Nothobranchius furzeri: one gene and its partner. The protein of the gene in region 1 interacts with the protein of each later gene in a biochemical or structural test. Links are inferred from orthologs where the notes say so. Each region holds a gene or a part of one and is shown on either strand. Other genes may lie near its edges.

Region 1 (4,402 bases):
GACTGCCAAACACTGGCGCCACCAGTCTCCGACCACCACCAGCAGAAAAGGTGGGTTTAACCCTCAGGCTTCATTAGGGACATTTTTGTCCATTTGGGCAGTTTTTTGCTTTTCTTTTGGATGCCATTTCACCATTGTTTGTGCATATGGTAGGCCTGAACGATTTTAGGAAAAGACTGAATTGCAATTTTTCTAGCAGAAATTGCGATTTCGGTTCAATTCACGATTTTCTGCAAACAAAGATCCAGCATTAGCCTGCCAAGCCACCCTGTAGATTAGGTGAAAAGATGGTCTAGATTCTAATCTAGTACAACAAATCATTCACATTAATATTTACTATTTATTTAATCATACAATAAAAACAGTTAGCCATTATATTCTCCCATTATCTTTTTTTTTTTTTACATTTTTTTATGTGTTTGTGAAGCAACTTGTGCTTGTAGTTTATATCTAGAGAGGAGCTTTACAAAACATGTTCTATCCAAAAATGCATGGAGGAAATCTGTAAGTAAACATAGATTTTAAATGTATTAAATAAAAAAATGCACACAGTTTTCCCTGCATTACCGCGGCAGGCTGGCTGCACGTTTTTCAAAGTCGTCTGATTTTCCTCACTAAAATGTCAACTCCGTGAGAGACACAAGCATTCTGACACCTTAGCTTGTTTGAGCTAACGTGTGCCATCAGAAACATTCAAACCATTTTTAAAAGATAAGTTGAGCTTTCAAGTCAACTAAAGTGCGCGGCTCCGCACTCGCGCTGATGAAGCATAAACCAAGCTTTAGAAATAAGCCTGAACCTGCTCCGATGTGGGAGGAGTCTCTCTCCCTTACCCCCTACGTCCTCTCTCTCTCTCTCTCTGTCCCAGGCTCACCTTCGGTCCCATTATTATAGGCTCTAGCAGCGCTGTGTGTGGGAACGTAAAACAGGAACAATAACCTGAACATGCAGCTCTGGCAGCTTTGGAGTTGGGCTCTGCTCTGGATGGCACACCCCACTCCCCTCCCCCGCGCTGGATTTTGCCGCCGACATAACACAGGGCGACAACCCCGGATGTAAAAAATAAAAAATAAAAAGTTACAAAACTGATCCGGGATCAGTCAAAACCTCCAAAACCATAGCGTTGACGGTCACATGAGCGTGCTGTTTGAAATCGGAATTTCGGTCCAAAAACGATAGATCGTTCAGCCGTACCATACGGTACAAATCTTTGTTGCAAAACACCTCCCTGGACAAATTTCGAAATTCAATTTGGAATTTTGAAAATAAACCAAGTGAACACTATGAAGAAAAAAACAAAAAACACCATACACTTGAGTCTAGCGGACAAAAACGTCCCATTGACTTCCATTCAAACCACAGTTTAGTATGTTTATGCACCTGGCTGGAGCTCCAGACACGTGCATAAACATACCAATTGTTTTTGCTTTCTACACTTTGAAGTTCAGTAAGAGAGTCAAACTGTGTTTTATCTACTTATCAGAGGTCAGGTTGACCTTTTGACTTCAATACAAACAACAGAAGATCTAAAGAAATGTGTAGACTTTCTCACCTGGGCCACGTATGGAGAAATAACTGAATTTGGTGAAGAACAGTAAAAATCACAAATTTCACTAGTGAAAAATGAAACACTAATATCACAGAAAGCATGATTACTTTTTCCAGATGTTACAGGATGAAAAACTGTGGTTTGAATGGAAGTCAATGGGACATTTTTGTCCGCCAAGATCAATCTGTTGCTACACAAAAACTACGGATGCAAATTTTTTTATTTTTCAGTTATTTCATAACATGACTAAGCCTGATTTATAATAAATGCCCCAGGAAGAAACAGTTGTTTTTGGGGGAAAATAAGTCATTTTTGTGTTTTTTCCTCCATAAATTCCAGAAATGACTGAGTAATCAAACTGGCATTTGAAGTGTTAAAAATGATGGAGGGCTGAAGTAGTTTAACAGAAGGATGAAAAAAAAGCAGAAGAAAAATATTATTGTATACATTTTTATAGCCATTTTTACCAGCGGACGTTTTGTCCTCTAAAGACTCAAGTGTATAGTAAAATAAAGTGAAGCCTGAGGCTTAAGCGTCTTGCCCAAGGACACAACAGCAGCATTGTCTGATGGGAGCCGGGATCTAACCTGCAACCTTCTGATTACCGGTCTACCTCCTGAGCGACTGCTGCCCAAATAGTAAACCAATGCTGGCGGGAGTGAGCCAGACAGAGTTAAAACAGGATATGAACGATGGCTGTGAAGCAATGGACAACGGCGCGGCAGCACAGCTGATACTGTACTGTTTGATGGTGTAACGCATGTTACTTTGTAACAATGGAATTATCAGAAGACTACTTCCACGGTCTCGTGGCATCAGCTCGACTGAGTCATTTACATGCAGATGAAGTTGAGTTTCTACCGCATTATGTGGGTGCTTTAGCCAGACTAATGCGTTTACATGCATAAAAAAAAACTACGTCCCTTTAAGGCAATAGTTTGGTTTTCTGACTATGAAGCAGTGGAGGGTCTGTGCAAGTAACTTTATTGCTTCATCTGATTTCATAAAAACTATGTAGTAGGTCCCTCAGACCTGAGGGTTAAACACCCGCTCACATCTGTAGCCGTTTAAATGCACAGCTGCCTTCAGTCCTTCATAAAGGAGGAGTCAGTTGGGAATGCAAATGCCTGCCCCCCCCCCACCCCCCCACCCCCACTGCTTACCTCTGAGTGCCACTGGTGGCTGCAGCTCCTGGCTGGACAGGAGGGTGTCCCCGGTTTCAGAAGAGAACAGGTGGCCTTTGGTTCCCAGCTCGGCACAGGGGAGGTCAAAGGTCAACACTTAGTGAGCACAGCTTCAAGGGTGTGAGGTGAGGAGGCGGGGCTTGTCAGAGCAGGAGACAGGCTGATTAGCCTCCCTTGGCATCGCTGAAGACTGGTGTTTGTGATTGTTTGTAAATAGGGACGGGGAAGGATGGAGGCGTGGTTATGATTAAGGACCGTCTTGATGTAGTATGCTTCGGCACTGCTGCACAAAAAAATAAAAAAATAAAGGAAAGGAAAGAAGCCATTATTAGTTTATTTTAATACTCTTTCTTTGTAATTTTAGATTCAAAACATCTGTAAAATAATTGTTCACAACGTTAGCCATCACATTCATCAGCTTCCGAAGCAATCCTGAAGTATTTCAAACAGCTGTCACAATCTTGTGCTTTAGAAACAATCCACATGCTCACAGAAAGACGTGATGGATAAAAAGGAGCTAAATGTTCATAAAACACTACGTGGTTTCTCAAAACAAAACATTTAGTTTTCTGACCTTTTTCAGCATAATAAAACAATTCCTACCAGAGTCAATGAATGCTAATAAATTATTATTCAACATGTTGACTACTCACTGGTTAAAGCAAAAGGTTAGATGGCAACTCGGCAAAACAACCGAGGGTAAATGGATCTCTAACTTGCTTTCGATTTCTGCAACAACCCAGACTAGAAACCTGACAAGAATGAGAAGGATGTAGCAGCTTGGTAATCAACATTGGTTTGTTCAATTGTGTGTGGGGAAAATGCCAACAACATTAGGAAAAAAAATCAGTTTAATCAAATTAAAATAAAATGGTTCTAGTATTTCATATTTCCTAGTTCCTAATGCATGAGTTCAGATGCATTAATTCATGCACTTAAACATTAATGTTCTGATTTTAGTGAAAAACTTGTTCTGTAATAGTTCCTTTGCTATTGTGATCAAAAACATTTCATCTCAATTCTGAGGCTGCTCTGTAAATATTTTTCTAATAAACAACACACATAGCAACTTCTGATCAATCTTTATCAGCTTCAGATTTAAAATAATGTATTGATGTAAACCACACCCACTAATTTCCAAATAATAAATAAGAGGTGCATTCATCTGTGTACAGGGTATATACAGCAATCCTTAAGTAAAATTTACTACTTTTTAATACTTTTTTTTACTACCTTCAGAATTTTTTTAAAACCATCACAACACTAAATTGCAAGTGTTAATCAGCGACCTATTTACACATATTTTAACATATATAACATACAAAAAGCATAGACTTAGAGACTCACTGATGTTGACAACGTATTGCGCATATTTATTTTACTTAGAAAATATGCCAGGCACTTCTTTTCAGCGGTTCAGACAGTTGACCACGGGGCCTGAAATGATGCAGAACGACCACTGAATATGACGTCATCATAATGTGACCGGATATGCTAAAGTAGGGTTGCTCAATTATGGCAAAAACAATAATCACGATTATTGTGACTGAAATTGAGATCTCGATTATTTAAGACGATTTTTCAATTTATGTAGATTTTTTTAATTTATTTTTATTCAGTCATAAAACTGCTCAGGGCACAATCAGGGCAAAAATAAACAAGAAACAAG
Region 2 (2,853 bases), on another chromosome or scaffold:
TTCGGTCACACGTACTGACGTAAGTTATATATAACATCGCAACGTTGCATTTTATTTTGAAAATAACCGGGGATTTCACACTGAAACCGTGTGTGGTTTCCTGTTTCGCACTATGTGGACTGCGGAAATTGATGTGTCCCAGAAGCGGCTCACGGAAAATATAGAACTCGATCCTATCTTTGGCGGCGCGGCGCGGCGCGGCATGCCGCTTCCGGGATGCGCCTGAAAATTGCCGCATCGCGGCTGGTTTGAAACACTCCGTAGACTATAATTGGATTCTATTTGAAGCGGTGCCGCTTCGCTGCCATTCCGTTCCGCTGATGCTTGCAGTGTGAAACCGGGGTTACAGCTGAAAAGTCTGACCGTAGCAGATGTATTTGCTTAGAGACAAATGTTTGTGTATAATTCTGTTCTTTAAATGTTCTTAAATGGGCTGATTTCGTCCTCCAGGGTTGGCCCATGTATGCACAGCTTCTGATTGATCTCTTCAAGTACCTCGCCCCCTTCCTGAGGAATGTAGAGCTCATCAAACCTATGCAAATCCTCTACAAGGTACGCTGTCAGACCTACAACCACAATAATTCACATCCACATTTGAATAATAAATCTCAATGCGACTTTGCTGTGTCTTATACTCTGTTCAGGGAACGCTGAGGGTGCTTCTCGTCCTGCTGCATGACTTCCCAGAGTTCCTGTGTGACTATCACTACGGCTTCTGTGACGTTATCCCACCCAACTGCATCCAGCTCCGCAACCTCATCCTTAGTGCCTTCCCACGCAACATGAGGCTTCCAGACCCCTTCACTCCCAACCTGAAGGTACACAAGCACTGAGATGGTTTCGTTTAAACCAACAGTTCCTTTTTTCCGCGCACACGTTTGAGGTCCATCTGTACAAATGTTCGTTTTAACTCTTTTCTTGCAGGTGGACATGCTGAGTGAGATCAACATTGCTCCTCGTATCCTCACCAACTTCACAGGCGTCATGCCGTCTCAGTTCAAGAAGGATCTGGACTCCTACCTGAAGACACGCTCACCTGTCACCTTTCTGTCTGAGCTGCGCAGTAATCTGCAGGTAAGGCCCGTGTCTCGTCTGGCGTAGCAATACAAATTAAATTCCTGCAACTTAATTTTTGTTTTCTCCACCTAGGTGTCGAACGAACCGGGAAATCGTTACAACATCCAGCTGATCAACGCTCTGGTGTTGTACGTTGGCACACAAGCAATCGCTCACATCCACAACAAGGGCAGCACCCCCTCCATGAGCACCATCACCCACTCTGCTCACATGGACATCTTTCAGAACCTAGCTGTGGACCTGGACACGGAGGGTAAGACGGCAGGATCATTAAAACATTGTCCAGAAACAGTTTGACGATAAATGTGATGAAATTCTCCGAAGGTGATGCAGAAATGATGTTAAACTTTCATCCAAAACAAAAAACTGACCAAATTCCTATATTTTTCCAGGACGTTACTTGTTCTTGAATGCAATCGCCAACCAGCTGCGTTACCCAAACAGCCACACCCACTACTTCAGCTGCACCATGCTCTACCTGTTCGCCGAGGCTAACACCGAGGCCATCCAGGAGCAGATCACCAGGTCAGACCGTCTGATGTGACCTTCAGTAGTCTTCACGGATGTGGATCACACTTCCTGTTAGCTGAACATGTTCCTCTCTTCTTCAGGGTTCTGTTGGAGAGACTGATTGTGAACCGGCCTCATCCATGGGGGCTCCTCATCACCTTCATCGAGCTGATCAAGAATCCTGCCTTCAAGTTTTGGAGTCACGACTTTGTGCACTGTGCCCCGGAGATTGAAAAGTAGGTTTTGTGATGTTGGCGTGAATTACAGCAGCTCACAAAATATTTAGCTTATTGTTTCCAGGAGTTGTTGTTGTTGTTGAGCCGTTCTGGTGTTTTTGTTCCTCCCGCCCCCCAGGCTGTTCCAGTCCGTAGCCCAGTGCTGCATGGGGCAGAAGCAGGCCCAGCAGGTGATGGAGGGAACCGGTGCCAGCTAACCTGCACGTCACCTCGTAGCCTCTGAGGGATGCTGTGGCCTTGACCCGCCCCCGCCACCACACACACACACCTCCCACTCTACTGTTGGCACTGGATAAACTGGCGACCAGTCATGTTGAAACAGAAGGACTACTGCTCCAGGATCTAGAGAGATTTTGTTTTTTTCCATTTGGGATGAGTTGGGAGGAGAATGGATCGGAACATGCTGTTTATTATACTTTTTTGATGCTTTGATGTAAATATTAAAAAGAAAAAAGGGAGAGCAGGGAAGTCGGCAGGTGGGTTGCTGCTCACGTGTCGGCTAGTTCGTACCTTGACATGTAAAGACACAAACGTATTCTCACTCACTACCAAAGTCCTTAGTTTGCTTTCCTCCCACACAAACCCTGCTTACTGAATTTGTTTGCTTTCAGAGGCAGAATAGTAGATGATTGAAGAGAAAAAAAACTGCCTGCTACTTTTGTTTGATTCTTTTGTTTTGTTCCTTTCGAGTGGGACTGAAAGGCGTGGTTAAGTCTCAGGTGTGGTGGTGGAGACCTGTTTCCTGGTTTGTCCATTTGAAGCTGGCTGTGAAGGTCTCTCCTTGGCACGTGTAAAACTGTGCAAAGTGATGGTAACATTTGACAACTTGTACAAAGTTCCAAACTGAAGAACAACTATAGAAGGACCAATACAGCCCGTTTTGTAACATTTTGAATGTTTTGTAAATGTATTGGTCCGTGTGTTGTATTTTGTAGTCCTTTCTAGTTTGCCTTTAGTTCTTGCTACTTAACTGCAGTATGCATACGTAAAGAAAATAAAGCATTCAAACTGCTGCCGTGTGTGAATCCCT

The links.
Region 2: the proteins of trinucleotide repeat-containing gene 6A protein (region 1) and cnot1 form a complex in vitro, tested with the Homo sapiens proteins (2 studies listed by BioGRID). The link is inferred for Nothobranchius furzeri from reciprocal best matches to the Homo sapiens genes TNRC6A and CNOT1.

What each region holds. Positions count from the first base shown.
Region 1 is NC_091752.1:63,517,322-63,521,723, reverse strand, and holds the start of trinucleotide repeat-containing gene 6A protein, read right to left. Parts: upstream 2,948-4,402; 5' UTR 2,713-2,947; intron 1-2,712.
Region 2 is NC_091744.1:81,594,348-81,597,200, forward strand, and holds the end of cnot1 (CCR4-NOT transcription complex subunit 1), read left to right. Parts: intron 1-450; coding exon 451-552; intron 553-644; coding exon 645-818; intron 819-924; coding exon 925-1,074; intron 1,075-1,149; coding exon 1,150-1,330; intron 1,331-1,469; coding exon 1,470-1,602; intron 1,603-1,688; coding exon 1,689-1,823; intron 1,824-1,941; coding exon 1,942-2,020; 3' UTR 2,021-2,234; downstream 2,235-2,853.